Linked DNA regions of Mus musculus. The protein of the gene in region 1 purifies or fractionates together with the protein of each later gene. This does not show direct contact. Links are inferred from orthologs where the notes say so. Each region holds a gene or a part of one and is shown in the gene's direction. Other genes may lie near its edges.

The links.
Region 2: the proteins of Itga3 (region 1) and Cd9 purify together in Homo sapiens (affinity purification with western blotting; 3 studies listed by BioGRID and IntAct, with this or other methods). This does not show direct contact. The link is inferred for Mus musculus from reciprocal best matches to the Homo sapiens genes ITGA3 and CD9.

The regions. Positions count from the first base shown.
Region 1 is NC_000077.6:95,050,345-95,065,876, reverse strand, and holds part of Itga3 (integrin alpha-3 isoform 1 preproprotein), read left to right. Parts: coding exon 1-114; intron 115-2,655; coding exon 2,656-2,742; intron 2,743-3,113; coding exon 3,114-3,324; intron 3,325-3,802; coding exon 3,803-3,999; intron 4,000-6,009; coding exon 6,010-6,098; intron 6,099-6,184; coding exon 6,185-6,321; intron 6,322-6,466; coding exon 6,467-6,553; intron 6,554-7,597; coding exon 7,598-7,665; intron 7,666-7,773; coding exon 7,774-7,910; intron 7,911-8,456; coding exon 8,457-8,606; intron 8,607-8,695; coding exon 8,696-8,793; intron 8,794-9,025; coding exon 9,026-9,173; intron 9,174-9,364; coding exon 9,365-9,436; intron 9,437-9,940; coding exon 9,941-10,020; intron 10,021-10,103; coding exon 10,104-10,181; intron 10,182-11,699; coding exon 11,700-11,802; intron 11,803-11,962; coding exon 11,963-12,145; intron 12,146-12,529; coding exon 12,530-12,652; intron 12,653-13,319; coding exon 13,320-13,433; intron 13,434-14,326; coding exon 14,327-14,425; intron 14,426-15,532.
Region 2 is NC_000072.6:125,484,412-125,500,578, reverse strand, and holds the start of Cd9 (CD9 antigen), read left to right. Parts: upstream 1-5,818; 5' UTR 5,819-5,939; coding exon 5,940-6,005; intron 6,006-7,093; exon of another isoform or gene 7,094-12,029; intron 12,030-15,344; exon of another isoform or gene 15,345-16,167. UniProt on the Homo sapiens protein: Integral membrane protein associated with integrins, which regulates different processes, such as sperm-egg fusion, platelet activation and aggregation, and cell adhesion.

The DNA.
Region 1 (15,532 bases):
TGTGTAACAGCAACACTGACTACTTGCAGACCGGCATGTGCCAGCTGGGCACCAGCGGCGGCTTCACCCAGAACACCGTATACTTCGGTGCCCCTGGTGCCTACAACTGGAAAGGTGGGGACCTGGGAGAAGGGGGTGCTACGGAGACTACCTGTCAGTAAGCCACAGCCAGTCAAGACCATCCAGGGTCAGGGTCACAAGAGACAAGGCCCCAGGCCAACAGCAGTATTAAAGCACTCACTGTGTGCCAATGGCTTTACATGCACCATCTTTAAATCTTCTGCATATGTCCACATGTGCGCACGTGGCTGTAGCGGGCAGAGGCTGGCATTAGTTCCTCAGTTGCTTTCCACCTTATTCTGTGAAACAAGGTTTCTTGGTACACCAGGAGTTCACTGATTAAAGCGGGAGGGGAGTGGCTGGCCAGTAACCTCCATGGATGCGCCTGTTTTTTTAGCCTGGCAGAGCTGGGGTTTTAGACCTGTAATGCTGTGCCTGGCCTTCTGTATGGATGCTGGGAATCCGAATGCAGCTTCCCATGCTTCCATGGCAAAGAATTCACTGCTATTTCCCCAGCTCCCTACACATATTATTTTAAGCAATCTGAAAAACGCTCGTGTGTGTGTGTGTGTGTGTGTGTGTGTGTGTGTATGTGTGTGTGTGTGTGTGTGTGTGTGTGAGAGAGAGAGAGAGAGAGAGAGAGAGAAAGGTGGTAGATCATACTATGAACTTTCTATGTAGCCCAGGCTATTTTCAAACTCAAAGCAAGCCTCCTGTCTCTATTTCCTGAGTGCTGAAATTATATATAAAATATATAATATATATATATATAATAAAATTACATGTGCTATATAATATATATGTTATATTATATAACACACATATAAATATATTTATATGTGTTAGCATTTCTAAAGTCCTCGGTGACACAGCATTTTACACCCATTTTACTTAATTAAAAACTTTGTCTTAGAGAAAGCCAACAATAAATTAGGAAACCTAGATTGGATTGCGACCCGTCTGACGTCAGTCAGCTCAACCGCTGGGAACCTTCACAAACATGCTGGTGCAGCACTAAAATCTTTTTTATTTAATTTATTTATTTATTATATGTAAGTACACTGTAACTGTTTTTCAGACATACCAGAAGAGGACATCAGATCTCATTATGGATGGTTGTGAGCCATCATGTGGTTGCTAGGATTTGAATTCAGGACCTAGGGAAGAACAGTCAGTGTTCTTAACCACTGAGCCATCTCTCCAGCCTACAGCAGCACTAAAATCTTAGCTAAGGATTTGTTAGAAGCAAGAGCAAAAATGGCCAGTCCCAGTGGCACTGTCCTGTGATTCCAGCTATTCAGAGCCTGAGGCAGGAGGATTCCATAATCCTGCCTGGGATGTGCAGTGAGTTCAGGTCCAGCGTGGGTTACTTAGCAAGACCCTGTTTCAAGATTAAAAAAAAAAAAAAAAATTCAACCTTCAGTACCTCAAATTAAAGAGAGAGAGAGAAAAAAAAAGCTCCTCCTGTCCTTCCACCTCCCTCATGCCTTTTCCAACATTCACAGTGTCTTAGGACTCCTTTCACACTTACTTCACTTGTGCATTGGTGTTTTGCTGGGGTGTGTGTCTGTGGGAAGGTGTCAGATCCCCTGAAACTGGAATTACAGACAGTTGTGAGCTGCCATGTGGGTGTTGGGAACAGAACCTGGGTCCTCTGGAATAGCGGCCTGTGCTCTTAACTATTGAGCCATCTCTCCAGCCCGTTATTTTAGTGTTTATAAATATCTTCTTAAAAGCAAAGAGATCAAGTGAAATGTTCTGGCCTCCCGCATTCTCTTTTCGTACATCATAGGCTAAAAGCAGTGTCATGGTCAATACTTACAGGACCATCCTTTTCAGGTTACAGAATACTTCATTCTCTCAAGATACTTGCTTAAAGAGCTGGAGAGATAGATGGCTTAGCACCCACAAGGTGGCTCAAAACTGTCTATAACTCTAACTCCAAGGGAACCCAACGCCCACTTCTGGCCTCTGCAAGCACTGTATGCAGGTGGTGCACAGATACACATGTAGGCAAAACACCCATACCTATAATCACATAAACCAGCCAACAGCTGGAAGGCTGGGGCCTGAGGGGCATGAGCTCAGGGCCTGTCCGATTCCCTGGAACTGGAGTTACAGACCACTGTGAGCTACAGTTGGTGTTGGGACTCAAACCTGGGTCTCCTAGAAGAGCAGCAGTCAGTGTTCTTGTCCACTGAGCCATCTCTCCAGCCCCATCCCACCTACCCACCCCCTACATCAAAAAACATTCTCAAAGAGGAAGGGATTTAGCAGCCAGGCAATGGTGGCACACACCTTTAGTCCCAGCATTCAGGAGGCAGAGGCTCACAGATCTCTGAGAATTCAAGGCCAGCCTGGTCTATAGAGTGAGTTCCAAGCCAGCCAGAACTACCAAGAGAAACCTTGTCTTGGAGATCAAGACAAAACAAAACAAAACAAAATAAACAACAACAAAAAAATGAGGAAGTGATTTATCAGCACAGTGCTCACACATGTTGTTGTTGTTGTTGTTGTTGTTGTGGGGAGGTGGGCTTGGTAGAAGAAAAGGTTGTGACTGGTTCTTGCTACTCTCCTTCCCCAATCTTTCTGCAGGAAACAGCTACATGATTCAGCGGAAGGACTGGGATTTATCTGAATATAGCTACAGGGGCTCAGAGGAGCAAGGAAACCTTTATATTGGTAAGCCCCGTGCTGGTGGCCTACTGAAGAATGGGAGGAGCCACCTTGATCCCTAACACACTGGCCCTTTTACCCCTGGTGTGTGCTGTGAGGTGCAAGTACAGTGCAGATGTGACCTGAGGCATTTTGTTCAATTAGCACACACTTATTGAGCACCGCCTGCATGCGAGACTCTGCACATGGTTTAAGCTTTCGGACGCAAAGTTCCATCAGGAAGCTCAAAACCCAGTGTGCAAGGACTGGATCTGTTACTCGACTTGGCCTAGAGGAATAGAAAAATAATAGAGGGTGGACAATGAGGATAGGTTCAGTATTGAAGGGGATAGATTTACTGGGGCTTTGATTGAACACTCCCCCCCCCCCCATCCCAGGGTACACGGTGCAGGTAGGCAACGCCATCCTACATCCCACGGACATCATCACTGTTGTGACGGGTGCCCCACGGCACCAACATATGGGCGCTGTCTTCTTGCTGAAGCAAGAGTCAGGTGGAGACCTGCAGAGGAAGCAGGTGCTGAAGGGCACGCAGGTGGGCGCTTATTTTGGCAGTGCCATTGCCCTGGCAGACCTGAACAATGATGGGTGAGAATCCAGGGACATGGGGCATCCTCTGGGGCCAGGGGGAAAGGTGGTGGGTAGCAGGCTTGCTCAAGCTAGATCAGAGAAGTAGAAGCTTTTTCCGTTCACACATTTTTTGCGGTTCACGGTTTTCAAGGTCTCAATTGCACCTTTTGGAAGTCTGGACATTTGCATGTCATTTGCATGAGTCTGGATATTTGCATGTCATTTGCATGACACCTGTGCTTGCTTGTCTGTCATTCATAAGGTGCCCAATGGGGTAGGGGTGTTTTTTTTTGGGGGGGTGATCTTTGCCTGTGTGATTTTTCTGTGACATGTGTTTTCTGTTTGGTGGGTTGTGCTGGCCTTCTCATGAACCATGGTAGGACCTGCCGTTTGCTTAATTGCATGGCCCTTGGCAAAATCATGCTCATTAGATGCCGTTCTCAATGTCTATCAGGGGCCAACTTCACACTTCCATTCCCACTCTTCCCCTGTGCAGGTGGCAGGACCTCCTGGTGGGTGCTCCCTACTACTTCGAACGGAAAGAGGAGGTAGGGGGTGCCGTCTATGTCTTCATGAACCAGGCGGGCGCATCCTTCCCTGATCAACCTTCCCTCCTGCTTCACGGCCCCAGCCGCTCTGCCTTTGGCATCTCTATAGCCAGCATCGGTGACATCAACCAGGATGGATTCCAGGGTAGGAGCCAGTATCCCTCCTTCAGAACCCTCGCTGACTGAGCACCAGCTGCATAGCTTGACAGGACTCGCAGCTCAAAGTCGTAACAGAGAGGATGTATAGAGGGTGATAAGTGGGTTGGGTTGAGAGTGCACAAAAGAGCGGTCGGCATAGCATGCAACATGAACACAGGAGCAATGTCATGTACACTACCGAAGCGTACACTGGGGACAAGCTGGTGAATGCTCTGAGAGCCAGGCAGAGGAAACGGGGCTTTCTGTTTGGGTCATAGCGAGAGTAAGATGGGAGATATAGCTTGTTGCTTTGGAGGGTGATTCTGGGGGTGGGGTGGTATGGGGTGGAAGCAGGTTAGAAACCTCATGAGGAAGGTCAAAATGTACCATATCAGGTGATAAGAAAGGGCTGGCACAACGAGGGAGTCCTAGGCATAGTGCCATTCCTTTGCCAGTGTTCTGTGGGACCCAGGGACAATACAATCAGACCCAGGGAGAAGTCACAGGGAGGACGCATTATGATATGAGTGCAATTACTGTGGAAGCACTTAGCTTACCAAAAGTCAGTCCTCTGACAATCTCAGTTCCCACCACACAGCCGAGAGCCAAAGGAAGAAAAGCAGACATGGATGCCAGAGGGGTCAGCCCACAGGCCCAAGCCCTTCCCACAGACGGGTCAGGTTTTTTCAGCCTAGGGTCTGCTCACTCACTGTCCTTGGCATCCTCTTCAGTCACCCCAGCCTGGGATCAAACATAGCGGATGAGTCAGGCAAAGGCTGAGATCATTGAACGTGTTGAGTTTATTTGACGAGGCATTGCTTAGCATCTTAAAAGTCTTGACATGGGAAGTTCCATTATACTGAAGCAAAATCCATTGTAGTGTTGTATGTATAATCCAGTTTCCTGGCTGTGTGACCTTGGGATTTGAGTCTGCTCATCTATAAAGGGAGTAAATAATAGTACATGATAGCAACACACACACACACACACACACACACACACACACACAAACACACACACACATACACATTCTCACACTCACATACACACACTCACACACTCAGACACATACACACACACATCACACACACACTCACACACATACACACTCACACACACTCACATACACACACATGCACATACACAATCACATACACACACATACACATACCACACACACACATACACACACCACACACACACACTCACATACACTCACACACACACCACACACATCCACACACATCCACACACACACACACCACACACACACATACACACACACTCACACACATACACACACACACCACACACACACACTCACATACACTCACACACACACCACACACACACACCACACACACACCACACACATCCACACACACTCACACACACACATACACACACACTCACACACATACACACACACACCACACACACACACACTCACATACACTCACACACTCACACACCACACACACACACACACACACACACCACACACACACACACACACCACACACACACTCACACACATACACACACACACACACACACACACACACACACACACACAACACACACTCACATTCTCGTAAGGGTTAAACGAAATGGATGCTGTGATTGCTGTGTTGGTGGTTATCAACGGGGAACGGCTTCTTTTCTGGTCCTGAGAGTAAATGTTATTTAGGAGAACCAATATATCCAGAGAGGTGGGTGGCTGTTGGGGGTAGGGATACGGAAAGTGGGAACCCTGGGTTATACTGGGGGATGTGGCCTCTGTCTGCGGCCCTCACTTGCTGTGTGACTTTGAGGAAGTTTCTTCCTCTTTCCTGAGCCTCCATTGCCACCAGAGCCCTGGAGTGCTGAGATTCCTTCTTGGCTGCTCCGAACACTTCTGCCAGGGTGAGGTCACCGCTGCAACACTGCCACACTGGGCTCAGTGGCCTGCCGCAGAGAGTGAAAGAGCTGTGGGGCCCTGTATGCCTGGTGACTCTGCCCTGTCTCTCCTCCCCAGACATCGCTGTGGGAGCCCCATTTGAGGGCTTGGGCAAAGTCTACATCTACCACAGCAGCTCCGGGGGGCTCCTCAGGCAGCCCCAGCAGGTATGAATGGGTGGGGACAAGTCGGATACCCCCCCCCCACCAGGCAGGTCTCAGAACCTGTCCCTACCGCTTCCTCTCTGCTTCAGATAATCCATGGAGAGAAACTCGGACTGCCAGGCTTGGCCACCTTCGGCTACTCCCTGAGCGGGAAGATGGATGTGGATGAAAACCTTTACCCAGACCTGCTAGTAGGGAGCCTGTCGGACCACATCGTGCTGCTGCGGTGAGCTCAGAGACTGGGCAGGGTCATGTCCCTCCTCCGCCCTCATCTGCCTACCTTCCACAGTGATCCACAGAAACCTGAACCCCAGCCCTGCCCTGGGGTAGGCAGGAAATACTGATGTCTGTCTGCTTTCTTGTTACTATAGGGCCCGGCCTGTCATCAATATCCTCCATAGGACCTTGGTGGCCAGGCCAGCTGTGTTGGACCCTGCGCTTTGTACAGCTACCTCCTGGTAAGACTGTCAGCCCAGCTCTTCCTACCCCCTCCGTAGGCCTCAGGCCCTAAGCCCTTCCCTGGACACGCCTGATGTCCCATCAGCCGCTGCATTTTAGGCTCAGCAACATCTTCCCTATCCAGTCTCATTTAAAGTCAAAGTTCCTTGTGGGAGCTAGTGCCTGAGCATGAGCTTAGGAACAGGAGCTCTGGGCCATCGGGCTCAAAGCGCAGCCACTCACTGCCAGGGGAGAGCAGGGGGAACTCCGAAGACTGAGGGATGGAAGGAAGGGGGGAGGAATGCTCTTGGTGGATGGACGTGGGGAGGGAGATTCACCCCGGGGCAAATTATTAGTCTGAGTTCCAGATAATGTATAAAAGGTTATAACCAATTAACAGGGCTCTTGTGATGGTTAAATGAGATGCTATTAAAAAAAAAATCCTAAGCACAGTAGTCTATACCTTAATTGTAAAAAAACAAAACAGCCAGGTGTGGTGGTGCACGCCTTTAATCCCAGCACTCGGGAGGCAGAGGCAGGCGAATTTCCGAGTTCGGAGCCAGCCTGGTCTACAGAGTGAGTTCCAGGACAGCCAGGGCTACATAGAGAAACCCTGTCTTGAAAAAACTAAAAACTAAAACCAAAAACAAACACAAACACAAACACAAAAACAAACAAAACCCAGTTGCTAATAGAGCGATCTATCAGTAGTGACCCTAGTGCCTTTTTTTGTGTATATCTGTCTGGTAGCAAAAGGGGTGGGGGCAGGTAGAGCTGAAAATCAGGGGATCGGAGACAAAAGTAAGATCTGGAGATCCCAAGACCCAGACTGGGTCATCAGCCACCTGATAACATCACACAAACCCTGCTGCTCCCTGGACCTCAGGTTCCCCACTGGTGACCTCTAGAAGTCCTGAGAAGTCACTGCAGCTTTGTAGACCCCCCTTTTCCCCCCACAAGAGTCCTGAGTTCTTTGCCTAGCACAGGAGTGAAGAGCAGGACGTGTCCATCCTTCCCACTGTGACCAGGCCCTGCTATGCGTTCTTGTCCCCCACCCACAACAGTGTTCAGGTGGAGCTGTGTTTTGCCTACAACCAGAGCGCTGGGAACCCCAACTACAGGCGGAACATCAGTAAGTGTTGGGCACAGTGTGCTCAGGTGGGAAAGAGATGGGGTGTGCGCTCATGGGCGCGATCCCGCGCTCACCTGGCCACCTGCTGACTGCCCTCTCTGTCCACAGCCCTGGCTTACACACTGGAGGCTGACAGGGACCGACGCCCACCCAGGCTCCGATTTGCCCGCAGCCAGTCATCTGTCTTCCACGGCTTCTTCTCCATGCCAGAGACACATTGCCAGACACTGGAGTTACTGCTGATGGTGAGAGAGGGGCTGTGGGGGAGGATGGGGGCCCTGAGATCACTGGGAGAGGTGGCCAGTGATCCTCTAAGTCAAAGCTCACAGATAGGGGCATCCCCAGAGTTTGGGGAGGTCAGTCTGGCAAATATGGATCTGCCGATGGTGGCCGAACACATCAGGTCACCCATGTTAGGAGGGAGGTAAGTCCAGACGTAGAGATGGGGCCGAGGGGCTTATCGTCTTGGAAAAGAGGTGTCGGCTCTGGCCCAGTCTGGAAAGAATGGGACCCTGATTCGGGACAAGCTCAGTTCCTCTTTGGGGCATCATGGTGTTAGGCGGAAGTAGACGGGGAGATCCAAACAGTAAAGGGGAGCCCCATCCCAGCGAGGCAGGGCAGCGCAGGATAGCAGGACTGGTGATTGAATTAATGGGGTTTTAGCTTATTTAGGGGATTAGGGTAGAAAGAAGCCCAGCCCCCCCACCCCCCCTGGGTCTTAGTCTGGCTAGGGTTTAACGAGATGGGAGGATTTAGCTTGGGGACTGTGTTCCCGGCACCCTCTTCCCCAGGACAATGTTCGCGATAAACTCCGTCCTATCGTCATTGCCATGAACTACTCCTTACCTCTGCGCATGCCTGATCGCCTCAAGCTCGGCTTGCGGTCTCTGGATGCCTACCCAGTCCTCAACCAGGCACAGGCTATGGAGAATCACACTGAGGTGAGCAGGCCCTCTCTGGGCCAGGAGGGCTGCAGGGTCAGAAGGTGATGTGTGGGTCACAGCCTCCTCAAGCCTTCCACTGTCCCCAGGTCCACTTCCAGAAAGAGTGCGGGCCAGACAACAAGTGCGACAGCAACCTGCAGATGCGAGCAGCCTTCCTGTCTGAGCAGCTGCAGCCTCTAAGCAGGTGGTATTTGGGTGACCCTGATTGGTTAAGGGCTAGGCGGGGCCTCACTGGCTGACAGAACTGGGGCAAGCAGGGGTAGGGGGATGTGAGCAGAGGTGCTTTAATTAGCCAGGGTTAAGACTGCCCGGTATGATTTGGTTGGCCCCCAATGGCTTTCCTAGCACTGGAAGCCCGAGGGGCGGAGCCTAGTGGAAGTGAGGCTTTTGGCTTAGTCCCAGACTTCTCTCTTCAGGCTCCAGTACAGCAGAGACACTAAGAAACTGTTTTTGAGCATCAATGTGACCAATTCACCGAGCAGCCAACGGGCTGGGGAAGATGCGCATGAGGCATTGCTCACCCTAGAGGTGCCATCCGCCCTGCTACTGTCCTCCGTGCGCCCGGTGAGTGGCAGGCTATTTGCACCCCACTGTATATGACATTTATTTAAATTATCGTTTGCTGTGGTGTGCTGACCTTTTTCGGAACTGGGGTACCTCTGCTACTCGGTAGACAAGCCTTCAGGGCTTCTAATTGTGCTCCCTAGTAGATGAAAGACAGTGTAACCCTGACCTTATTTGCTTTCTTTCCTCAGTCTGGGACCTGCCAAGCTAATAACGAGACCATCCTGTGTGAGCTAGGAAACCCCTTCAAACGGAACCAGAGGGTGAGACCTGGCCACATCCTTCTCTCTTGGCGAGCTTCTAGCCATCTTACCTGCCCAATTCATGGGATTTCTTGAAGCAAAGAACCAGAGTGGAGGAGGGGAAGGCACAACAGGGGGTGAGAAGAGGCCCAGAGACTAAAGTATGGAGCCACTAGGGATCTATGCATGATTCTAAGGAAGACACAAGCAAGGAGCCCTGATGCTCGCCCTATAGATAGCATTGTGTCTTTTATCTGATGTACCATCCTAACTTACCTTAACACAATAGCTATATTTCACGGAATAGGAAATGCAGGTTTAGAAAGTCTCAGTAGCTTGCTTAAGGTTTCGCAAAAGTGGCAGAGATTCCCAAAGCTGCAACGATGTCCAGTGATCTTATCACTGAGATAGGAGGCAGAGATGGATAAGGAGGAGGGATGGAGATCCCCTTGCCTGGATCTTCCCCATGCCATAGCCCCCTGCTGCTTTCAACGCTCCTTTCTGTTTCCCTGACCCTGGTGCTAGATGGAGCTGCTCATTGCCTTTGAGGTCATCGGGGTAACGTTGCACACGAGGGACCTCCCAGTACTTCTTCAGCTGTCCACGTGAGTGACCCAGTGAAGGGAGTCCGGTCAGGATTGAGCTCACATCCTGAGTCTCCTGCTCACCAGCTGCATTTTCTTCTCAGGTCGAGTCACCAGGACAACTTGCAGCCCGTACTCCTGACTTTGCAGGTGGACTACACCCTCCAGGCCTCGCTCAGCTTGTGGGTACCGCTCTGTTCCCAGTCCTTTGTGCCCGAGCCAGGGCTTCCCTACCCTCAAGGAGCCTCCTAAACTCCCCTGACACTTCTCTTGGTCTCGGGCCCTCCTGGGTCATCATTTCTTGATAGCCATGGTTGCTATGATGGCTGCATTAGTATTCCTTGTATGTAGCACAGGTAGGAGGGGCAGGATTAGCACTTGGGGCTAAGGTGATGGTCTCTGCCCTTTTCTTTAAATTTTCCACTTTTTTTTTTTTTTTTTTTTTTTAAAGATTTATTTATTATTATATTAAGTACACTGTAGCTGTCTTCAGACACACCAGAAGAGGGAGTCAGTTCTTGTTACGGATGGTTGTGAGCCACCATGTGGTTACTGGGATTTGAACTCTGGACCTTTGGAAGAGCAGTCGGGTGCTCTTACCCACTGAGCCATCTCGCCAGCCCCTTTTTTTTGGTTTTTCAAGACAGGGTATCTCTGTGTAGCCCTGGCTATCCTGGAACTCACTTTGTAGACCAGGCTGACCTCGAACTCAGAAATCTAACTGCCTCTGCCTCCCGAGTGCTGGGATTAAAGGTGTGTGCCACCACGCCTGGCTCCACTTTATTTTCTTGATATTTACCTTTGTGTATGTGTATGTATGATGTGTGTTAGCACATGCATGTGTGAGAATGCAGATGTGTGCATCTATGAAACACATATGGAGGTCAGAGGACAGTATGAGGTATTGCATCTCACCTACACCTTGTGCGGGGCAGGGGGTTTTTCTGCTGTGGCCATTGCATTCACAAGCATGCATATGCAGGCTAGCTGGCCCATGGGCTTCCTTAGGGATCCTTCTGTCTTAGGGATCCCCTGCCCACCTCATATAAGGAGCACTTGGATTACAGATGTGTGCTACCACACTCAGCTTTTAAGTGGGTTCTGCGGGGGGGAGGGGGAATTTAAACTCAGACCCTCACTCTTACATAGCGAGTGCTTTGCCCCCTGAGCCACCTCCCCAGCCACCCCCAGCTTAAAATTTTTTTCTCTGATTTATTATATTTCATATATATGGAGTATTTTGACTGCATGTATGTCTCTGCACCATGTGCATTCCTGGTGCCCATGAAGGTCAGAAGAGGGTGTCAGTCAGGTCCCCTGAAACTGGAGTTATAGATGGTGCCGAAAACTGAACCTCAGTTCTCTGGAAGAGCAACAAGTGTCCTTCCTTAGCCCCTGGGCTATCTCTTCAGCCCCTCTCCCACCTTCTTAAAAGCCCACTGTGCAAAGATGTCAAAGACTCTTAGTGATTTTTGCATCACTGCCCCATACTGCACCAACTATTACTAACCCCACCTCGTAGGCGAGGAACCTGAGGCTCAGGAAGGATGGGTAGTCTGTGTGAGGCCGCACAGCTGGGCCACAGTAGAACTGGGTCGTATGTGCCAAGGGCAATGTAGGCAACCCGCATCCACACTGCAGTCCCCTCTGGCAGGGCTCTAGCCTCCTGTCCTCTTTGACTCTGGTGTCTTCTTATCCAGAATGAATCATCGGTTGCAGAGCTTCTTTGGTGGCACAGTGATGGGTGAGGCTGCCATGAAAACTGCGGAGGATGTGGGAAGTCCCCTGAAATATGAATTCCAGGTAAGGGCACCTCTGGGATCCAGGATGTCCACTCTTCTGAAAGACAGAGGGGAGACCGTAAGGAGTCTGGGGTTCAGAAGTGAAGGGTTTAGGGTTGTTGAGTTGTGGGTGGTTTTCCAAAGGATGGTAACCATGACACACGGGTCATGTGTGCCCACAGGTGAGCCCAGTGGGAGATGGGCTGGCAGCCTTGGGCACACTGGTTCTAGGTCTGGAGTGGCCCTATGAAGTTACCAATGGCAAGTGGCTGCTGTACCCCACGGAGATCACCATCCATAGCAATGGTTCCTGGCCCTGCCAGCCGTCTGGAAACCTTGTCAACCCTCTCAACCTTACTCTCTCTGTAAGTCCATTATCAGGAATGCTCCATGTGTGTCTCATTTGCATGCCGGAGGGCAGAAAGGCCAGTGTCTTCCCCTGCTGCCTTGGTGGCCTTTGGGAGCCTGGCTTCTCCCTGTTCCTTTCCTATCTCCTATCAGCTATGTTTTTTTAGATTTATTTATTTTTATTTATTTATTTGAGTACACTGTAGCTGTCTTCAGACACACCAGAAGAGGGCATCAGATCCCGTTACAGATGGTTGTGAGCCACCATGTGGTTGCTGGGAATTGAATTCAGGACCTCTGGAAGAGCAGTCAGTGCTCTTAACCGCTGAGCCATCTCCCCAGCCCTCCTATCAGCTATTCTATCACTCTCTGCCTTCCCAACATATCTCTGCCCTCTTCAGGACCCTGGAGTCACACCACTGTCGCCACAGCGCCGCCGGCGGCAACTGGATCCAGGGGGAGACCAGAGTTCCCCGCCTGTCACACTAGCTGCTGCCAAAAAAGCCAAGTCTGAGACTGTGTTGGTGAGTGGCCAGGGCAGAGGCGGGGAGGACTGCTCAGCCTGACACAAGGCCCATGGGCATCAGGGGCCGACAAGCAAGGGTGATAGAAGCCACTCACACAGAGACATCAGTTAGAGAGGTGCTGTAGACCTGGGCCTCAAGAGCCTCCTGACAGAAAAACAGACTTACCTCCTACCCTAGAGCACATCCAACACAATGGACCCAAAGAGGAAGCGCTGGCAGATTCTGAGGCCTCACACCCTGTTGGGTGTAGCTTGGGCATTTGGTGTGGGGAGGATATGTAGAGCAGAGTGGTCTATGCAGGAAGAGGTTGAGAAGAAAATATGGGGACCCAGGGGAAGCCTAACTGGCTAGAGAGGTTGCAGGGGTATCCCAAGACAATAGACAACGCTCAATGTGCTTGGCTTGGAAGAGGTTTCTGAGGCTGCACCTTGCCAGCCTGAGCAGGGCTATGCTTCACGCTTGTGTTCCCTGAGTCAGATGAGCTTGGTCCGAGAGTCCATCTTGCATGTATGTTCGTGAAGTAGAAAAATGAGAACGAGAAAAACAACGACCAGACCCCATGTCACTCCAGGCTGGGATGAAATCTAGGAGGGTAGAAGGTAAGGAGCCAGCACCACGTCTAGAGATTCAGGCTGTCCCCCGTCTGTCCTCCTGTCCACCTCAGACCTGCTCCAATGGCCGTGCCCGCTGTGTGTGGCTGGAGTGCCCCCTTCCAGACACCTCCAACATTACCAATGTGACCGTGAAAGCACGGGTGTGGAACAGCACCTTCATTGAGGTAAGTGCTGGGTTTGGAGGTCTTTACTGTTATCCACTTGGGTGAGGAGAATGACAGGGAGGGATTGAAGCCATGGTGTGTGTGTGTGTGTGTGTGTGTGTGTGTGTGTGTGTGTGTGTAAAATGGTATCATGTTCTGCACAGTTGTGTGTCTGTTACTGTGACCACATCAGTGTTATGGTTGCGTGTATGTGTGTGAATGTGTAATACTTCCAAAATAACCTTTTATATGTCCTTTACATTTTATCTCTATGCCTTTGCCCCTGGTGCTCCCTGCCCACTGGAATGCCAGCTTTTTTGTTGTTTTGTTTTCTTTTCTGTCTCTGTGCGTGAATTCCCTATTCAGTCACCAAGGTCTCCAGCAACCTTCACTTCTGAGATCCTAGCTAACTTCAGCAGCTGGAGTTCTCTCCTCTGAATAACACGTCTTTCCTGGAAGTTACCTGGGTCTCCTGTCCTGCTGGGATAGGTTATGGTTACCCTTACACCAGCCTTCTCTTGCTACCTAGTCTAACCTTTTCTTAATACTAGACTATCAGTCCTTCTGATTGGTTTCTGTCATATCTACTCAGTTTCCAACACTGGACCACAAAAGTCACCTTAGTTAAATGAAGGGGCGTGGCTCTCTACCAGAAACAGGTGCTGGATAGATTTAGTCCAGGAGCCTGACCTAGACCATTACTTTCCCTGTCTCTGCTGTCTTGGCATCGGCACAGGGCCCAGGATGGCAGAGGAGTGAATGGCAGGCATTAGCATGTGCAGGGGAGGTTGGATAACAGATCCTTTGAGGGTGTTGTCTGGTGGGGCACTGAAGAGGGTAGAGAGTGTAGAGTCAAAGAGGGAGGCCAAGAGAGACTTCAGCTGCTAGTTGTGACCCCTCTGTCTTCTTGGTAGGACTACAAAGACTTTGACAGAGTCAGGGTAGATGGCTGGGCTACCCTGTTCCTGAGAACCAGCATCCCTACCATCAACATGGAGAACAAGACCACATGGGTGAGTAGGTGTGCAGCAGCCTCAGGCCAGGCCACACCGCACAGAGCATCTCTAAGAGGACAATGATGCTGGTCCTGCTGCTGGAGGCCTGCCACCTTAGTTTCTTGGGAGACAGAATAAGAGAATCATTAAGTCACAGGGCTGCCTAGGTTATAGTGAATTCAAGGCCAACCCGGACAACTTACTGATATTCTGCCTCAAAACTAAAAGCGAGGGGCTGGGAAGATGGCTCAGCAGGCAAAGGCCTTTCTCAACACGCATGAAAACCTGAATTCCGATCTTCAGTACCCTAGCACCCAGTTAAAAGCTGGGTGTGTTGGCCCATGTGTGTAACTTCAGCTGTAGGTCAGTGAAGGCAGGGAGATGCTGGGGACTTGATGGCCAATTTAGACAAAATAGCTACTAGTTCATTGAGAGATATCACATCTTTTAAAAAGGTAGAGAATGAATGATAGAAGAAAGACATCCAACATTGACCTCTGGCTTCCAAAAGGGCACACAGGGGACCTACACATAGATGTACACACACACACACACACACACACACAAAATAAACAACAAACAAACAATTTTAAAGGTAGGGGAGAGGACATGGTAGCACATACTTTAATCCCAGCACTTGGGAAACTGAGGCAGGTGGATCTCTGTGAATTAAAGGCTGGCCTGGTCTCCATAGTGAGTCCCAGGACAACCAGGACTACATAGAAAGATCCTGTCTCAACACCCCCCCCCCCAAATAAAATAAAATAAGTAAATAAATAAAAATTAAGAAGGGCTGGCCGTGCTGGAGTGCTGTGTTCTGGAAGCTGGTACAGAAGCATTGATTCAAGTTGGAGGTTGGCCCGGGCAACTTAGTGAGCTCAAGGATAGCCTGGGCTACATAGCAAGGCTGTCTCACAAAACCAAGCCAATCAATAAATCATGAACAAGAACAATGCGCGTATGTACGGCTGAAAGAGCGTAAAGCACCTGGGGATAAACATACGACAAAAAATTAAAGTTATGGATAGGGAATATTCTCTCATCGTCAGATTTTTTGAAATTATCCCAGTCCAAGTGAGATTCAGGAAATTCTGAGATGGGGGGGGGGAGGTCGGGGATGTTCTA
Region 2 (16,167 bases), on another chromosome or scaffold:
AGATGTCAACTGTCTTGCTTGTCAATCATCCTCCACCTGTTATACTGACCTAGAGTTTCCTGTTTGAACCCAGAGCTCAGGAAATTGTCTAGTCTGGTCAGCCAACCTATTCTGGGGATCTCTTATTTTTGCCTCCATATATTCTTTGGTTGGTTTTGGTTTCAATATTTTGGGAGATTGTCTGGTTGGCTGAGAGGAGGACTCACTATGTGGCCATGACTACCCAGGAATTCACTTTGTAGACAGGGTGGCCTTGAACTCACAGATGGCCACCTACCTTTGCCTCCCAAGTGCTGGAATTGAAGGTGTGCTCCATCACATGAGACATATTAGGAAACAGGGCCCCTATTCGCTCAGCAGGTAAGAGGAAGAAGAAGGGAGAGCCTCGGGCAAGGCAGGGCTTGAAGGCTGACGGAAGAAAGAAGGATTGAAAAAGACCAAGTTCATTTTGCATGTAGGATCCCAAAGAGATTTTGTGCCCTGGTCCCAATGTTTATTTTAATAACTGTGTTCATCTCCTTCTGCTACTGTAATAAATTATGACAAGTGTAGTGGCTTAAAATAACACATTCAATTATTTTACCACTCCAGAGATCAAAGGTCAGTAAGTGGGCAGTGGTGGGTTTGTTCCTGCTGACAGTTGAAGGGGGGAATTCATTTCTTCATCTGGTCCAGCTTCCAGAGGCACCTGGGTTCCTTGGCACAAGGCCACACATCGCCCTAACCTGGGCTTCTGTCCTCACATCTCATCCTCTGGCTAGGGAACTGTGACCTCTCTTTCATAGGAACTCTTTGGAGGAATGGAGAGATGGTACAGCAGTTCAGAGCACTGGCTCTTAACTAAGTTCTAGAGGACTGTTTTAGTCGGGGTTTCTATTCCTGCACAAACATCAGTACCAAGAAGCAAGTTGGGGAGGAAAGGGTTTATTCAGCTTACAATTCCACACTGCTGTTTATCACCAAAGGAAGTCAGGACTGGAACTCAAGCAGGTTAGGAAGTAGGAGCTGATGCGGAAGGAAGGAAGGAAGGAAGGAAATCCAATTCTCAAAAGGATAAGGCAAGAGGATCTAGAATCAAAGACTCTGGGCTCCTTAATGAGATCTGTCAAAAGAGGAAAAAAAATGAAAGCAAACAACACAAATCTCTTTGATTACAAAGTCCCACCAAAAATATCTCCATTTCAAGCTCCTTTAACTCTATCTACAGCCCCTCACTCCAAGCACAGAGGAGTGGCACACCCACGAGTTCTGGGGGTTAAGAAAGGACATGTTTGGATGACTGCTGAACAAACATGATGACTTCAATTGACAAAGAGGTAACTAGACAAAGGAAATGGTGGGAACTCGAAAGCCAAGAGCAAAGCAGACCCCTGAGGACCAACCCTTGAGTGAGGTTTGTCTCCATGAACTTATGCCAGAGATATTTACAGAAAGCCAGCAAGGGATGGAAATTAATCCAGGCAAATGGTCTTTTAGATTTTTTTTTAATCTGAATTTGTATTATGTTGGTATGGCTGTTTTGTTAGCTTGAATGCCTGGGCACCACCTGCATGTCTGGTGCCCACAGAGGCCAGGAGATGGTGTCAGATCCTCTGGAACTGGAGTTACAGGTGTGCTGGGAATGAAACCCAAGGCCTCTGGAAAAGAAGTCAGTGCTGTTAACTGCTGAGCCATCTCTCCAGCCCCCTACCCCAAACTGAGATTATTTGAAGGTGCTCACCACCCACGTGTGTATCAATACAGGAATACGCTGACGCCCAGAGTCACACCAAGCAATCCACACGGACAAGACTAGATAGAGCAATGGCCCAAGGCTCACACCGCTGGCTTTCAAGAAGCGTGCTGTTCTCAACCTGTGAATCGCGACCCCTTTGGGAGTCCCCTATCAGGTAGTTACATTATGATTCATAATGGTAGCAAAATGACAGTTATAAGGTAGCAACAAAATCCTTTGGGGGTCACAACATGAGGAACTGCATTAAAGGGTCTTGGCGTTAGGAAGGTTGAAAACCATTGCTTCAGAGTTAAGGAAGTCGTGGAACCTTCTCGTAGTGAAAGCAGCAAACCCAATGGTCACTGCTACAGTAGCCAGGAGGCTCTTGTTTCGAAAAAGGATCCTGTTGGGGGCTGCATATGCTGGTACCCACATGGGGATGAGACAAACGACCACACTAAAGCCAACTTGGCCGTATGCGTTTAAATCTTACCACCAGGGGGAGCACAAGAGCCAACTGGGACCCCTTGAGTTGAACTGGGGTTTTTTCCAGAAACAGGATCCCACCCACACCCTACCCCCACCCCACCCCCAGGGAAGGCAGAATAAGTTTTCCCAGTCCCAACTCTATAAAAGCCTGGAAGGTCTGGCTGCCGCCATGTGATCGCTGACTCAAGGGCTTACCCACATTTTCCTCTTCTAGTTAAAGCAAACCACATTTTTTCCATTCCTCCCTTTTCCTGGTTGCCTGCAGCATGAAGCTTTTGTAACAAACACACTTTGGCCCAGAACATCACTACACCATAGAAGACCAGAGTCCCAAGACAGGAGGTAACCCTTCCAAATAAACCACAGAGTAGGGACCAAGACCCTCAACTCCAGGTTCAGGGCTTTTGTCGTATAAGGGAACATCTTTGTGTGGGCCTGGGATCTCCGGCAGGAGGATTTCCACTTTAAGACAACACTGAGACTCTTTTAAAATAAGCAAACAAGTGAAAAATAATTTTTTTAAAAGAAAGGAATCCAGCCAGGCAGTGGTGGCGCACGCCTTTAATCCCAGCACTTGGGAGGCAGAGGCAGGCAGATTTCTGAGTTCGAGGTCAGCCTGGTCTACAGAGTGAGTTCCAGGACAGCCAGGACTACACAGAGAAACCCTGTCTCAAAAACAAAAACAAAAACAAAAATGGGGGGTGGGACCCATGAGGGGGCTGGAAAGATGGGTCAGAGGTTAAGAGCACCAACTGCTCTTCCCAAGGTCCTGAGTTTAATCCCCAGCAACCACATGGTGGCTCACAACCATCCATAATGAGATCTGACGCCCTTTTCTGGAGTGTCTGAAGACAGCTATAGTGTATTTACATATAATGAATAAATAAATCTTTTTAAAAAAAGGAATCCATGATTCTATGTAATGGGGTCTTAGGCTGTTTCTTGGAGATCAACCATAATAGTGATGGCAGTGGGCTGGGGGAGAGTCTCTTCAGCAGTCACCGCTATCCAGAGCAGGTTCTGATGTGGACACAAATGTTTACTGAACCCCACTCTCCCATGGTGGGGGAGGGAGTACAAGGAGATAAAACCTTTTCTTTAGAACTGTTCTCTTGCCAGGCGTGGTGGCACATGCCTTTAGTCCCAGCACTAGGGAGGCAGAGGCAGGCGGATTTCTGAGTTCGAGGCCAGCCTGGTCTACAGAGTGAGTTCCAGGACAGCCAGGGCTACACAGAGAAACCCTGTCTCGAAAAAACAAACAAACAAACAAAAATAGAACTGTTCTCTTAAGATGGATGGACTCCCACCAGAACAGTACAAGGAGACCTTATTTTCTCCCTATCCCAGCTCTGCCTCCTTCCTTGTCCTCTGCCCTCGCTCCCCCACAGCCAGTAGCTTCCCTGGCACAGACAGTTGCCATGTCTTTGTGTTTCTAGGCCCTCACACACAGCTCCTCCTGGATGGCCACTCTCTGCTCCGCTGATGCCTCCTGACTTCCAAAGTCATAGATAGCGCCTGCGTGGGGCCTAGCTCAGATTGACTCGGGGATGTCCACAGAATTGCCTGTTAGGGTCTCTCGAACCCCTATCCGTGGATAAAGGTGCCTTCATGGCACTACACTCAACAAGAATAACGTGGTAAAACTAAGAAAATTTAGAAGAAGCGAAAGAAGCTCTTAGAGATTCGGCTTCTGCTCAGACTCTCCCTCTGGCTCCCACATGACTCCTCGGCAGACTTTTAGGTCCCATTGCCGCTCCTACCTTCCCATAGGTCCCAAACTGGTCACACCCCCTAACGGAGCTCCATTTTTCATTTTACCTAACCGCACCTCCTCAAATGCATTCGGATTTTCTGTCCAGTGCCCCAAGGTTTTACACCAGGGAGTGGAGATACAAACAAGGGTCCCTAACCGCACAGCACTTGCAGGCTGCCCTCTTGTCCCGTGCCCACACACAGTCAAGGGGTTCACCTGACACTCCCGGGGTTCACCTTCACTCTCAGAGGACAAGGTCCTCACCAGCTCTCTCCAGAAGACCACGGGAGCCCCAGCTCTGCCAGGCTTCCCTGATTGTAACACTTACTTTGTGAGAGCTCTCAAGAGACCCCTAAGTTGACCACACACACCCTCCAAGTCTCCTGCCTGCGTCCTTCTTCCAACTCCTAAGCTGCTTCAGGGAAGACAGAATGTGTTGCTTTCGACTCCTGTTCCCCAGTGAAGAACCTTTCTAAACTAAACTGTGGGAAAAAAAAAAAAAAGGTTTTTAACTGGGTCTATTAATGAATCAGTCTACTTACTGATAAATAGTGAAGCCAGTCTACTGATAAACAGTAAAACAAGAGCTGTGCTATGCTAACAGAGCTGGGTTTGCTATGTGAAAAAGTTTCTTGTTTTTATTTTTTGTTTTTGGGGACCGGGTCTCCTGTGGCGTTGGCCTCCAACGTACTTTAACCCAGGAAAAAAAATTTTAACTCACATTCTTTTTGCTTTCTGATATTTTCTGATGTTTCTGTAATAAGTACGGTTTGCTTTTGCAATGAAGAATGCTAAGGAAACTTCCTGCAGGGGTGAGGAAGAGAAAACTGTAAAGGATATTGAGAAGGGCCTCTTCACCCTGTTGAAAAAATCAAGAAAGAATTTAGAGAGTCACAGAGCAGGACGTGGTGGCCTGAACCGCTCTGGCAGGAGGACTGGAGTTGAAGATAGCCTGAGCTACATAAGCAAATTCCGGGTCAGTAGGTCTACAAACGGCTAAATCCTACTTCAAAAGAAATGAAATCGCTGGGCGTATTGGCACATCCCAGCAGAGGCAGACAGATCTTTATGAGTTCAAGGCCAGCCTGGTTTACACAGGGCGTTCCAAGCCAGATAGGACAGCATAGTAAGACTCTGTCTCAAAATAATAATAGATTTAAATAAAAAAAATAATAAAGCACAATAGAATTTTCACAAGGAGGCAGGGCGGCCAGCATACACCCCTGCAGGCATGGAGGCGCAGCAGAGTAGGGGTGTGGCATCAGGTGTGGCAGGGAATGAACGGAGTAAATACAGGATGAAGAAGGGTTTCAACTCAAGTCTCTGAACGTAGAAAGTTTCTGAGCAAAGTAGAACTGCTCAGATTAGCACCTAGAACATTCTAGCGGCCACCGTGCTCAACTAAGTGCGTTCAGTCCAGAAAGGTTTACAAGGAGGTGTCAGAGAGAACGCAAGCCAGGCAAATAGGGGCTCGCAGACTTGCCTCGGGAATCTGAAAAGGTTCTTAAGATTACATGGCCCTTGGGGGTCTTCCAACGTGAGCTCTTATGCAGAGCCCAGGATGAACTAGGATGAACGGGAAAGGCGAGGCCGGCACTTAACTCCCCGTAAAAGAAGTCGGGTACGGAGGTCCGGAAAGACCCCGAGACGGTGGGAAGAAGGAAGATGGAGGGAAAGAGGATCTTAGAAACCAGACGGCAAAAGTTAGGTGCAGAGAGAGCTCTGCACTGAGGGTGAAACCGAAGTCCCAGAACCTGGGTCTGGGGAGGGGATTAGAGCATGGGCGGGGCAGGTGGGCCGGGGGGCGGGGTCGGCATCCCTCCGCACATGCGCATAGCAGCTGGCCGAGCGCCGTAAGGAGTGGCACTTTTTAAAAGTGGAGCCTCAGGCCAGCCCCTAGCCGCAGCGTGTCTCAGTCGGTTGTCGAGTCCCTTCTGTCCCAGTCGTTCGTGCCTCTTGTCCCACGCAACTCCAGCTTGTACCATGCCGGTCAAAGGAGGTAGCAAGTGCATCAAATACCTGCTCTTCGGATTTAACTTCATCTTCTGGGTGAGTGAGAGGCGACTGTCGGCGCGCTCCTCTCCGAGGCCACCTGTTCTCAGGCCCGAGACGGCGTCCGGGGCGGAGAGTGTCCCGGCGGCCGAGAGCGCCGGGAGCCGCTGGTACTGCGCGCGCCAGGCGGACTCCGGGCGAGTAGAGAAAGGCGCAGCGGCTGCCAGCTGGCCAGGCGGGACTGGCAGGTGGGCGGGAGGAGCAAGTGGGTGGGAGAGCCGAGGGTCCTGGTGGCTCCGGCTGTGCACTTCGCTCCCGGGTCCTTCTACCGCCGAGTATTTGAGATGGGCTCTGTGCCTGCTCCCACCCGGAGCACCCCCGAGTGTGAGAGAGGAGTGAGGGAGGAGCGGAGCAACCTTTTCGAGTAACTCGATGCCCTCCCCGGCCCGCAAGGCTCCTTGCCAGCAGGGCAGTCGAGCGTCTCCCACTTCGGTGGTCCCACAAGTGACAAGGGGTGCTACGGAGGGAGAGGAAGTGGGTGTGGGGAGTCTTCCCTGCACCTGGAGGTCGGACATTCCTTGTTTAGGACCTGAACTCTCAACTGAAAACGTCCATGCCTCTCTCTAAGCTACCTGAAAGACTAGATTGTCTTGATTCTTTTTCAAGAGCGATAACTATCTTGGCTGTAGAGAACTCTGGGAGAGTTAAGAGAAAAGAAGGCGGGGAAGGTGCCTATTGGCGCCTCTAGATGGGATAAATCCGGTGTTTCTGCATTTCCCAGGTAATCAGGTACTGCGGGCTTGAAGCCTCGCTCTAAAAATGTCCAGGTGGGGCCAAGGGGAATGGCCGTTCACCTGCAGAGGGTCCAGAGGCAGGTGCTAGTAGACTCTACAGATGGGCCTCTGGGTAGGGCAACAAGAGAGTGTCCACTCTCCCAAAACTCAGGGACAGAAGCAAGGAAATACACGGAAGACCCTTTTGTCCTGATTCTGAGAGGGCACACTCCCAAACACAAATGGACGGAATTTGCTCCCAGGCAATCAGGAAAGAGCTTAACTAGGCAACTCCTGTGCCACCAGAGACTTTGAACAACAACAACTAAAAAGTCCACTATTCCCTTTGGAGCTGGCCACCGGGATGCTCACCATCTTCCAGCAACTGTAAGGTTTAATACTCTCCAGGGTTGCTTGGAAGTGTTGCACAACCTGCAGAGACTGCCCTGGGTTTCTAGGAGCCACCACACCCATACAACTTAAGAGGATGTCAGAGGACATTCCCTGCTTGTGTTTCCCCAGTTCTGCAGACAGGCAGCCAGCTCCCAGGCTTGGCTTGGTCCACTCATCAGCTTGAGCGCTTTGTTACAAAACAAAGTCTGAAGGCAGCTGGCCCCACCCAACCCCGCCCTGTCCTTTGGGGAGTTTTCCTCCCTCTACCTTTTAGTCTCTTCCCTGCTAGTCTGTCGGTCAGTCCCCAGACGCCTGCATAGATGGTGTGAAAGTTTGGTGCTAAGGGGAAACCACATAGTTGCCTACATCTCCCATCTGCCCCCCATGGCATATGTATGTAAGGGGCTGAGAGGAGGTGCCCATGGCCACCCTATGTCTTCTCATTCTGTTGCCTGCTGGCCTACAGTCTGCCCATCTTGTCTCCTGCTGCCACTTCCGCTCCTATCCAGAACCCTGACAAGTTGCTGCTGGCTGACTCTGCCTCCTGAAGCAGGACAGTCTCACTCTAGAAGGGTTTGACTTTGGGGTTGGGAACTGCATTGGAGATTATGCACCAGCTGGAGGTGCTAGCTCTCGTGTCCACCGTGAGGAACCAGGGTGCCCAAGATCGCAAGCCGAGTTAGTACTGTAACCTCTGGGCCCCTTGTTTGCTCTCTTTACTCTCCTGTCTCTTACCATTAGGGAGGTGGGCGGTTTACTATGTTAATTATTGTTACCTGCCCTACCCTGGGCTCTAATAGGGACAGTCCTGTTACAATCTCTGTGCTAAGTATTTTACAGTCTCCAAAGGCCTCCCCAAGCTCCATGATATAACCAGAGAAAGAAACATTATTCCCATTTTGACCAGAAATCTTGCCCATGATAGGTTAAGTGCTAAAGGCAGGGTCAAGTGATAGGGTATTATCAAGTGAGGTAGTTAGTATTGGGCAGGAGCAAAGGAAGGCTGAGAGGAAACTCCTCAAAATATCTTTTACTACAGGCGGTGATCTCTCTCGGGGGAACCCTTGGGATCATTATGATGTCACCTCTTCAATCTCTTGAGACCAGTGATTTATGAACTTGACATTTGGTGCCTGGTGTGGGCTTTGGAAAGCAGAGGCCACCTTTGTCTGTAGAGGATACTGAGCGGCTGGATGGCAGGAATCCAAAGAGAAGCCAGCCTCTCGTAGTCGCCCTGGGACAGTGGAAGAGAGGGAGGACCGGCAAAGGGGAATCTGTCTTTCTCCTAGGCCCGAGCATGTCCCCTGTGGGACATGCTCTGTGACAGCTGAGCCTGCCCAGCCTGCCTTTCTGAAGTTGGGTGTCTCCTGCCCACAACCAAGCCAGCAATCGGTCTGTTTTCCGACAACCTCAGAGCCAGACCTCACAAGCCTATTTTGGTGGTTCCCAAATTTCTCTCAGATCTCCATGTCTATCCCTCCACTCCCTCCAAAAGAGAAAGAAAAGAATTGAGAAAGAAAACATCTTCCTAATGTCTGAATGGCAGGTGATTAGAAGTGTTTCAGGCTATAATGTGGTGGCCAGCCTTGAGCCGGGCCTGGAATGTGCCTCTCCCATTCGTTGTTTGTTTGTTTGTTTGTTGAAGGCTTTGTTATACAGCCAACTGGCCTTGATCCTGTTGCCTCTGTCTGGCCTTTCCCCATCCCGCACACCCATTCCCCCAGATCCCACATAGCGAAGTCTTTTATGGTTTTTAGCCTCGGCAAAGGAAAGCCCAGATTGAGAGAGCCAGCCAGATCCTGCTTCCATGCACTCTGACCCTCTGTTTCTGCTCCTTCCCCATCCGGAAGGATGGAAGTAACAGAGGGATCTCCTCCACCTCCAGAGATGACATCACCTTCACGGAAGCAGCTTGGAAATGTAGGCAGAGAGCTGACCCAGGCTTCAGAGCCTGGCGGAGGGCGGATTACTTGGGAACCACAGGCAGCTCACTTTCCTGATCCGCACCGAAGTTTCCTCATCACAAAACCCATGACTTGACGCAAAAGGTCTCAAAGGTCCATTCAAGATCAGCCTATAGAACGAGCCCCGGCCACCACACACCATTGCCCCACCTCTCCTCTGGTTAATAAGACTTCCCGGCAAGCCACGTAACAGAGGTGTAGGAGTCTGGAAATCACGGTGGATAGTGAGACTTGTTCCCTGGCTTTTACCTGCGAGTATAAACCTGTTTCTTGGATCTTCCCTGTTCCTTTTACCTTCCCTCACTCTTGGCGGGGGGGGGGGGGGGGGTCTCCTTTTCTTCTGGTTCTTTGGTAAGTGCTCCATTGCCTTGGCCTTTTTTTTTTTTAATATTTATTTATTATATGTAAGTACACTGTAGCTGTCTTCAGACACTCCAGAAGAGGGCGTCAGATCTCCTTAAGGATGGTTGTGAGCCACCATGTGGTTGCTGGGATTTGAACTCAGGACCTTTGGAAGAGCAGTTGGTGGTGCTCTTAACCACTGAGCCATCTCTCCAGCCCCGCCTTGGCCTTTTATGGTCATAGATTGTAATGGTCAGTGTACAGCCCTGGATTCAGCATCTTCAGCCCCTGGGCAGGTTAGCTGCATCTCCCTGTAGCTCTATTGCTTCACTAGTAGAAAGTGATTTGAGGTCTTTGGAGAGGGTGGGAGCAATTCCCAGGTAAGTATGGATGCTTAAACCACAGATTAGGCCACACTCCTCCTACTCAGTGTGGCCGGACTATGTGGCTGTGTGTGCCGTGTAGCCTTACGGCTTTTCCACATCTCCCTGCCATACGAGCCGACGTAGGAGAGCTGGCCTCACTCTTCAAAGCAGAACCACTGCCTCCATTTTGTACACATCTGACTCAGGGAGGAAGGTACACCTACTCCTGAGAAATGAAGCTGAAGAGACTCTAGAGTGTTCCAAGGCATCCGGGTTCGAGTCGGGGCAGGTTGTGGAGGGGTAGGTGGCTGGAACAGGAGCCCCTCCCCACCCAGATTGCTCCTTGCAGAAGTTGTTTGACTTGGATGTTGGGTTGAACTGTGGCATAAAATGGCTTCCCACAGAGCCGCCTGTGCTGGAGCGACACTGCCCTGCTTGTACTGGAGCTGGCTGGCAGGTTGGGGAGAGGGTGAGCCGAGGCCAAGTGTCTGCCCAGCTATGGAAAATAGGAACTGGCCCCTGCCTAGAGCTTTGGTTTCTCCCCCACCCCCAGCCATAGTTACCAGTAACCAAGATCTGGAATCCCAATCTCTGGGTGGTGGTGAGAACTGGGTTCATGTGAGCACACTCACACTCTCTTACACACCACACACACACACTCTTCACAGACACTGCCCCTGTTTTCAGATTGCCGGTGGCAACATTCCAGACCTTGCTATTGCTCCCAAGACGCCTTTGCTGCCCGCTGCTGGTTGCTGGTTACTGGTTACTTCCCAAATTTGGACAGGCTTTGATAAGCAGCCGTAGAGGAGTGGATCTGGGGTGGCCGGTCAGTGCTCTCTTTCCTAAGTGAGCCTTTCCTGGCTCCTGCCTGCCCTTCTTTGGGTGGTGTTTTGGGCATGAACCTTTCATCTTAACACATAGGCCTGTGTGTTCTGGGGTGGTTCCGCCTAGTTTTGGGTTCAGTTCAGTTTTTATAAGGAGCTGTGGCCTCTGAAATGGGTCACACAGTTTGGGACCTAAAAATACCTTGGGTTTACAAGAAACATGTTTTCTTTGGTAGCACGCACAGAGGTAGATGGATTTGCCTGGGTGTTTTCTTATTTCTGGCTTGGGACAGACAGGAGTGGAGGCTCCGATCTCAGGGTTCTGGTGGCTTTGCAGTGCTGGTGCCGTCTTGTGTGTTCTGGGTAAACCCTTGTGGCATTGAGAAAAGAGATCACACTGTGATTTCTGAGTTCCTCCCTGTTCTGGTTGGGTGAGAGGGACTTTAATAGGACCTGTCAACTTTTTTATTCTTTTGGTTTTTGGAGCTGGGGATTGAAGCCAAATCCTTGTGCATGGAAGGCAAGCATTCTGCCCTTGAGCTGTACCCCCATCCCACCCCCTGCCCCAGCCCTCAAAGGGTTGGGTTTTGCTTTCCAGTCAAAGTCTTGCAGAAATGGGTTTTACTTCTTAAATACAGAAGAGGGGGAGGGGGGGAAACCTCCTCATTTCAGAGGCTGTAAATCTCCCTGACACCGAACTGTCAGGTGAAGTATATTTCAACTAAAGAAGTTTTGGTTTTTAAGTTAGCCTTAGTAACTTTTTGTATGTTGTGTTTTCGAAGTCTGACTGCATGACACCCGGCTGCTCCATTCTGTAAAAGAGTCAGGCTGGTCCAGGGACATTTTTATTTTCCACCAAGTGGTGGCATGCAGCTGTGGAAAGCAATATCCTGTCCCCAGATGAGACAATTTTATAAAAATTATATCCATCCGGGTAATTTTCTACCCCATCCACCCAAGAAAATACTTAGTTATAGATTCATGTGGGGAGGGGTGCTTGTCTGTTGGGGTTTTTTGTTGTTGTTATTGTTTTGGGTTTTGTGGAGTTTTTTCTATTATTATTATTTGTTTGGTTTGTTTTTTGAGACAGGGTTTCTCTATGTAGTCCAGTCTGGCCTCAGAGATAGACCCTCCTGCTTCTGCCTCTGCCTCGGCCTCCCAAATGCTGGGATTTAAAAAGGCATGGGCCCCCAACATGCCCAGCTAAGTTTTAAGTATTGTGGGTATATTGTTACCTTGTTAGGGAAGCCCATGAAATTAGTAGGACTTCGTTTCGGGGGTGGGGGGGTGGGGGATGGTGGGGAACGTTATACATGATTTGGTTTTGTTGTTGTTCTGGGGCCCGTGAACTTCAGGAACGGCCCCATATTGATTTGTTTCCCTTGGTTTCCAGGTAACCTCTGGTTTGTCCTGAATCCCATGTTTCTGACATGAGTGATTTCCTGGAATTGAATGGGGGAATAATAGAAGGTTTTAAAAAGTACTGTTAGAAATCCTAAATTGCCAGGCGTGATGGTGCACGCCTTTAATCCCAGCACTGTGGAGGCAGAGGCAGGCAGATTTCTGAGTTCAAGGCCAGCCCGGTCTACAAAGTGAGTTCCAGGACAGCCAAGGTTACACAGAGAAACCCTGTCTCGAGAAAAAAAAAAAAAAAAAGAAAGAAAGAAATCCTAAGTTTAGCTGGGTATAGGGACGTGTGACTTTAATCCTAGCATTCCAGAGGCAGAGGCAGGTGGATCTCATGGTCTATAGAGTGAGTTTCAAGGACAGCCAAGGTTACTTATGGATACCCTGTCTCAAAAACAGAGATAATTTAAGAAAGAAAATTACTGAAATAACCAAGGTAATGCCATCTGACACACACACACACACACACACACACACACACACACACACACTCTAGTCACATCTATCTTAGCAAAACATTTGAAATTTCCATGACCTTGACAATGGTCCATATGTCTAAAATAACCATTGTGTTCTGCCAAGAATGACCATTTCAAGGTTACTCTGACCATTCTCTATTATCTGTGTGGGTTTTACCTTTAAAAACATTGTACCCCTGAGCTTGGGCACCGAGAGATTCTTTAGAGGCTCAAGCCCGCTCTTGGTCTGGTCATCAATAGAAAAAACTAAAAACTTTTAATTGGCTTAATCAGCATTGACATTAGTCTATGTCTCGCAGGTTATTACAAAAAGAAAACAACACAAAAGAAACTAGCCTAGATTCAAGACTGGTGCTGTGGGAACTGGAGAGATGGCTCCGTGACTAAGAGCACTTGCTGCTCTTACAGGGGACTCAAGTTAGGTTTCCGGCAACCACGCGGTGTCTCATAACCACCTATAACTCAAGTTCCCAGGGATCCCATGCCTCCTTCTGATCTCCAAAGGCATCATGTTGTAGGCAAAACAGTCTTACACATAAAATAAATCTTAAAGACTGGGGTTGTTGCCAGGCGTGGTGGCGCACGCCTTTAATCCCAGCACTCCGGAGGCAGAAGCAGGCGGATTTCTGAGTTTGAGGCCAGCCTGGTCTACAAAGTGATTTCCAGGATAGCCAGGGCTATACAGAGAAACCCTGTCTCCCTCCCCAAAAAAAGACTGGGGTTGTAGATGCAGGAGGCCCTGGCTCCAGTCCCCAATCTCAGAAAGAAGAGGGGAGCAGCGGAACCCTGAGCTCCCATGATGACTTGGGGCAGCCCACGCTGCAGAGCCACCTCCCCACCCACCCTCACTGACTCTGCAGTTAATCCTTGCTGAAAGAGTTTCTAGACACTGGCTTAATTTAACTGGTGCTCTGTACTTCTAGACCACACGAGGAACCCAGCATCATAAGCTTCCAATTGGTGATTCCTCTTCCCACCCCACAAGTGTAGAAGGCCCAGCTCAGCCTTATCTCTTCTCTCCTTTGGGGGTCTTTGAGAAGGGGCAGGGGTAGGGTTTGGGTCTCCAGAGAGGTAAAGAGCCACCTGGTTAAGTGACAGAAACAGCCAGAATAGTCTAACTTGGAAATGGCCCATGTTAATTGCATTCCAAAGAAGGTTCTGTGGGTTTGGGAACTGTTCACTAGAAGTATCACCAACTCTGGCTGTTAAGTCCTTGCCCAGTGAGTACAAGGGGCACTGTGTAGATGGACAGTGGTGGCCTTCACATCTGACCCAACGCCCATCGGGGGTCCTGTGAACACACCTCACATGGGCAGGTCAGTGGCTGGCTCCCACTGACTTCCCACCTCCTCTTAGCATCAGAAGACAGCCCCTGTTCACTCACACCTTGCCTCCGTTTGAGCTGCCAGTACATGGGGATCAGAAACAACACAGCCCCTGTGTGGCTCACTGGAGCTCTCCTAGGCTTAGGCTAAAAATACCAGAAAGTCAATTGAACCATTCTCTTAAAGTCAGACGGATTCCTGCAGTATTCTAATCTTTATCCCTTTTCCACGTACCGTGAGTCTATAGTATATTTAGTATATGTATAGTATATATGTAGTATGTATGTATGTGTATGTATACACACACACACACACACACATATATACATATACACATACACACACACAAACACACCTTTCCAGTGGATTTATTAAAACTAAATGAAGATAGGCAAAGCCGCGAATAGTTGTGAGCTCACCATGGCTTTTCCCGTGGGTGGAAATTTAGGTATCGGGGTGCATGTCCCAAGGGTGAGAGCATTGGCAGAGTGCCAGTTTGCACATACATCACATGTTCACACCCCAGTTCTGATGGGTGTTTTCAGGCTGGGGAACCCCCACTGCCTAACCCTAAAGAGGAATGTCCACCCCAGAAATGGCCCCTCCCCACTAAGGCGGCCCCTTCAAGGTATGAATACCTTTCTGAAACCTCAGGTGTCAGTCTATGACCAGCAATGCCCTCAAATGTGTGGTGTTGGGTTGGGTTTGAGACAAGGTTGAACTGTATGGCCCAGGCTGACTCAGAATGCTCTGTGTAGACCACACTGGGCCTCACACTCTTAATAATCCTCCTGCCTCCCAAGTGCTGGGATTGTGGATATCTCCTCACCTGTCAGCACTCAAATGTTAAACCTCCTTTTACCAGCCCGGGACAGGCTTCCACACAGCACTCCGCTAATCAAATCATTACCCTGGGTCTAAGGCACATAACCTTTTAGTGACCCAGAAAACTCGTTGCCAAGTAGAAATTAGATTAATGTCCAGTGCTGGGCTTGGAGAGCCCTCAGTCCTTTGTAACAGGAAGCTGACCTCAAGTTCATGCCACAGTGACCTCTAGGATCCCATGGAGTGTCGCTGCAGGGCAGGAGCAGAGGCTCCAGGTTGTGTCTCAGAACCCAGTTTTCCAAGAGATAAGAAGAATAGCAGCCCTGACCAGTGGTGGAGGACAACTGCGGCTAAGGGAGAGCTAAGCAGAGAGGAGGCGTGGAGTCACTCAGGACTCTGGAAAGCAGAGCTTGCGTGGAGTGGAACAAGGTTGTGGGCAAAGTTTAGAGGACCAGCAGCTAGAGGAAGGAAGCCTAGACACCCACCCCCCCACCCCCCACCCCCCCCATCCCTGCTCAGGCTGTCGCCCGTTGACTGCTCATTTGAGAAAGGCCAGGTTCAACAGCACCTCAAGCCAAACTTAACAGTTCTGGGACCGGGATGTGTCTTCTGTGTCCCTGTATCCATTTCCCAGCATGGGGGTGGGAGAGACACGGCTGGACAAAATGATTTTGAATTCCCACTTTGCCATCAGAATCAGGTTCAATACTTTATTTGTGGTATTACCTCAGAGGAGCAATTTAACTTCTAGGCCCAGTGTTCTCATATAAAAAGATGGGAGATGAAGTTTGAGGGATACAGCTCATTTGATAACACACTTGCCTACCCTGATAACCCAGGGTTCAGTTCCCAAGCCCATATAAAGGAATCATGGTGGCACTAGCCTGGGATCTCAGTGGTGGGGGCAGGAGAAGCAATAGTTCAAGGTCTTTCTTGATGTGAGGCAAGCTTGGGCTGTGTGACACTGGGCTTCTCACACACCCATAGAAAGGAAGTTGGTGTTATCTAGTAGAAGGTCCATTGTGAAAATAGCTCAAGTGAATTCATTGCGTAAGGTAGGGTATAGGTCAGAGGACAGATGTGTGAATGCTTGTCCTCAAACTAAGAGACCTAAAACATGAAGGAAGAGATTGTGTGATGGGTCGGGATGCATGATAGGTAAGACACAGCACTTTGGTTTTTTGTTTGTTTTTTTGTTTTTTGTTTTTTGTTTTTTTTTGTTTTTTTTTGTTTTTTGTTTTTTTTTTTGAGACAGGGTTTCTCTGTGTAGCCCTGGCTGTCCTGGAGCTCACTTTGTAGACCAGGCTGGCCTCGAACTCAGAAATCCGCCTGCCTCTGCTTCCCAAGTACTGGGATTAAAGGCGTGCGCCACCACGCCCGGCTGACACAGCACTTTGGAAACCTTGTCTGCTGTATAGCGCTCAAAACATGTCGTGATGGGTGAGGAGATTCAGCCAAGTGGCTCTGTAAGTGCCACTGGCCAACACTGCTCATGCGCATGCCCCTGTTTGAAAGCTGA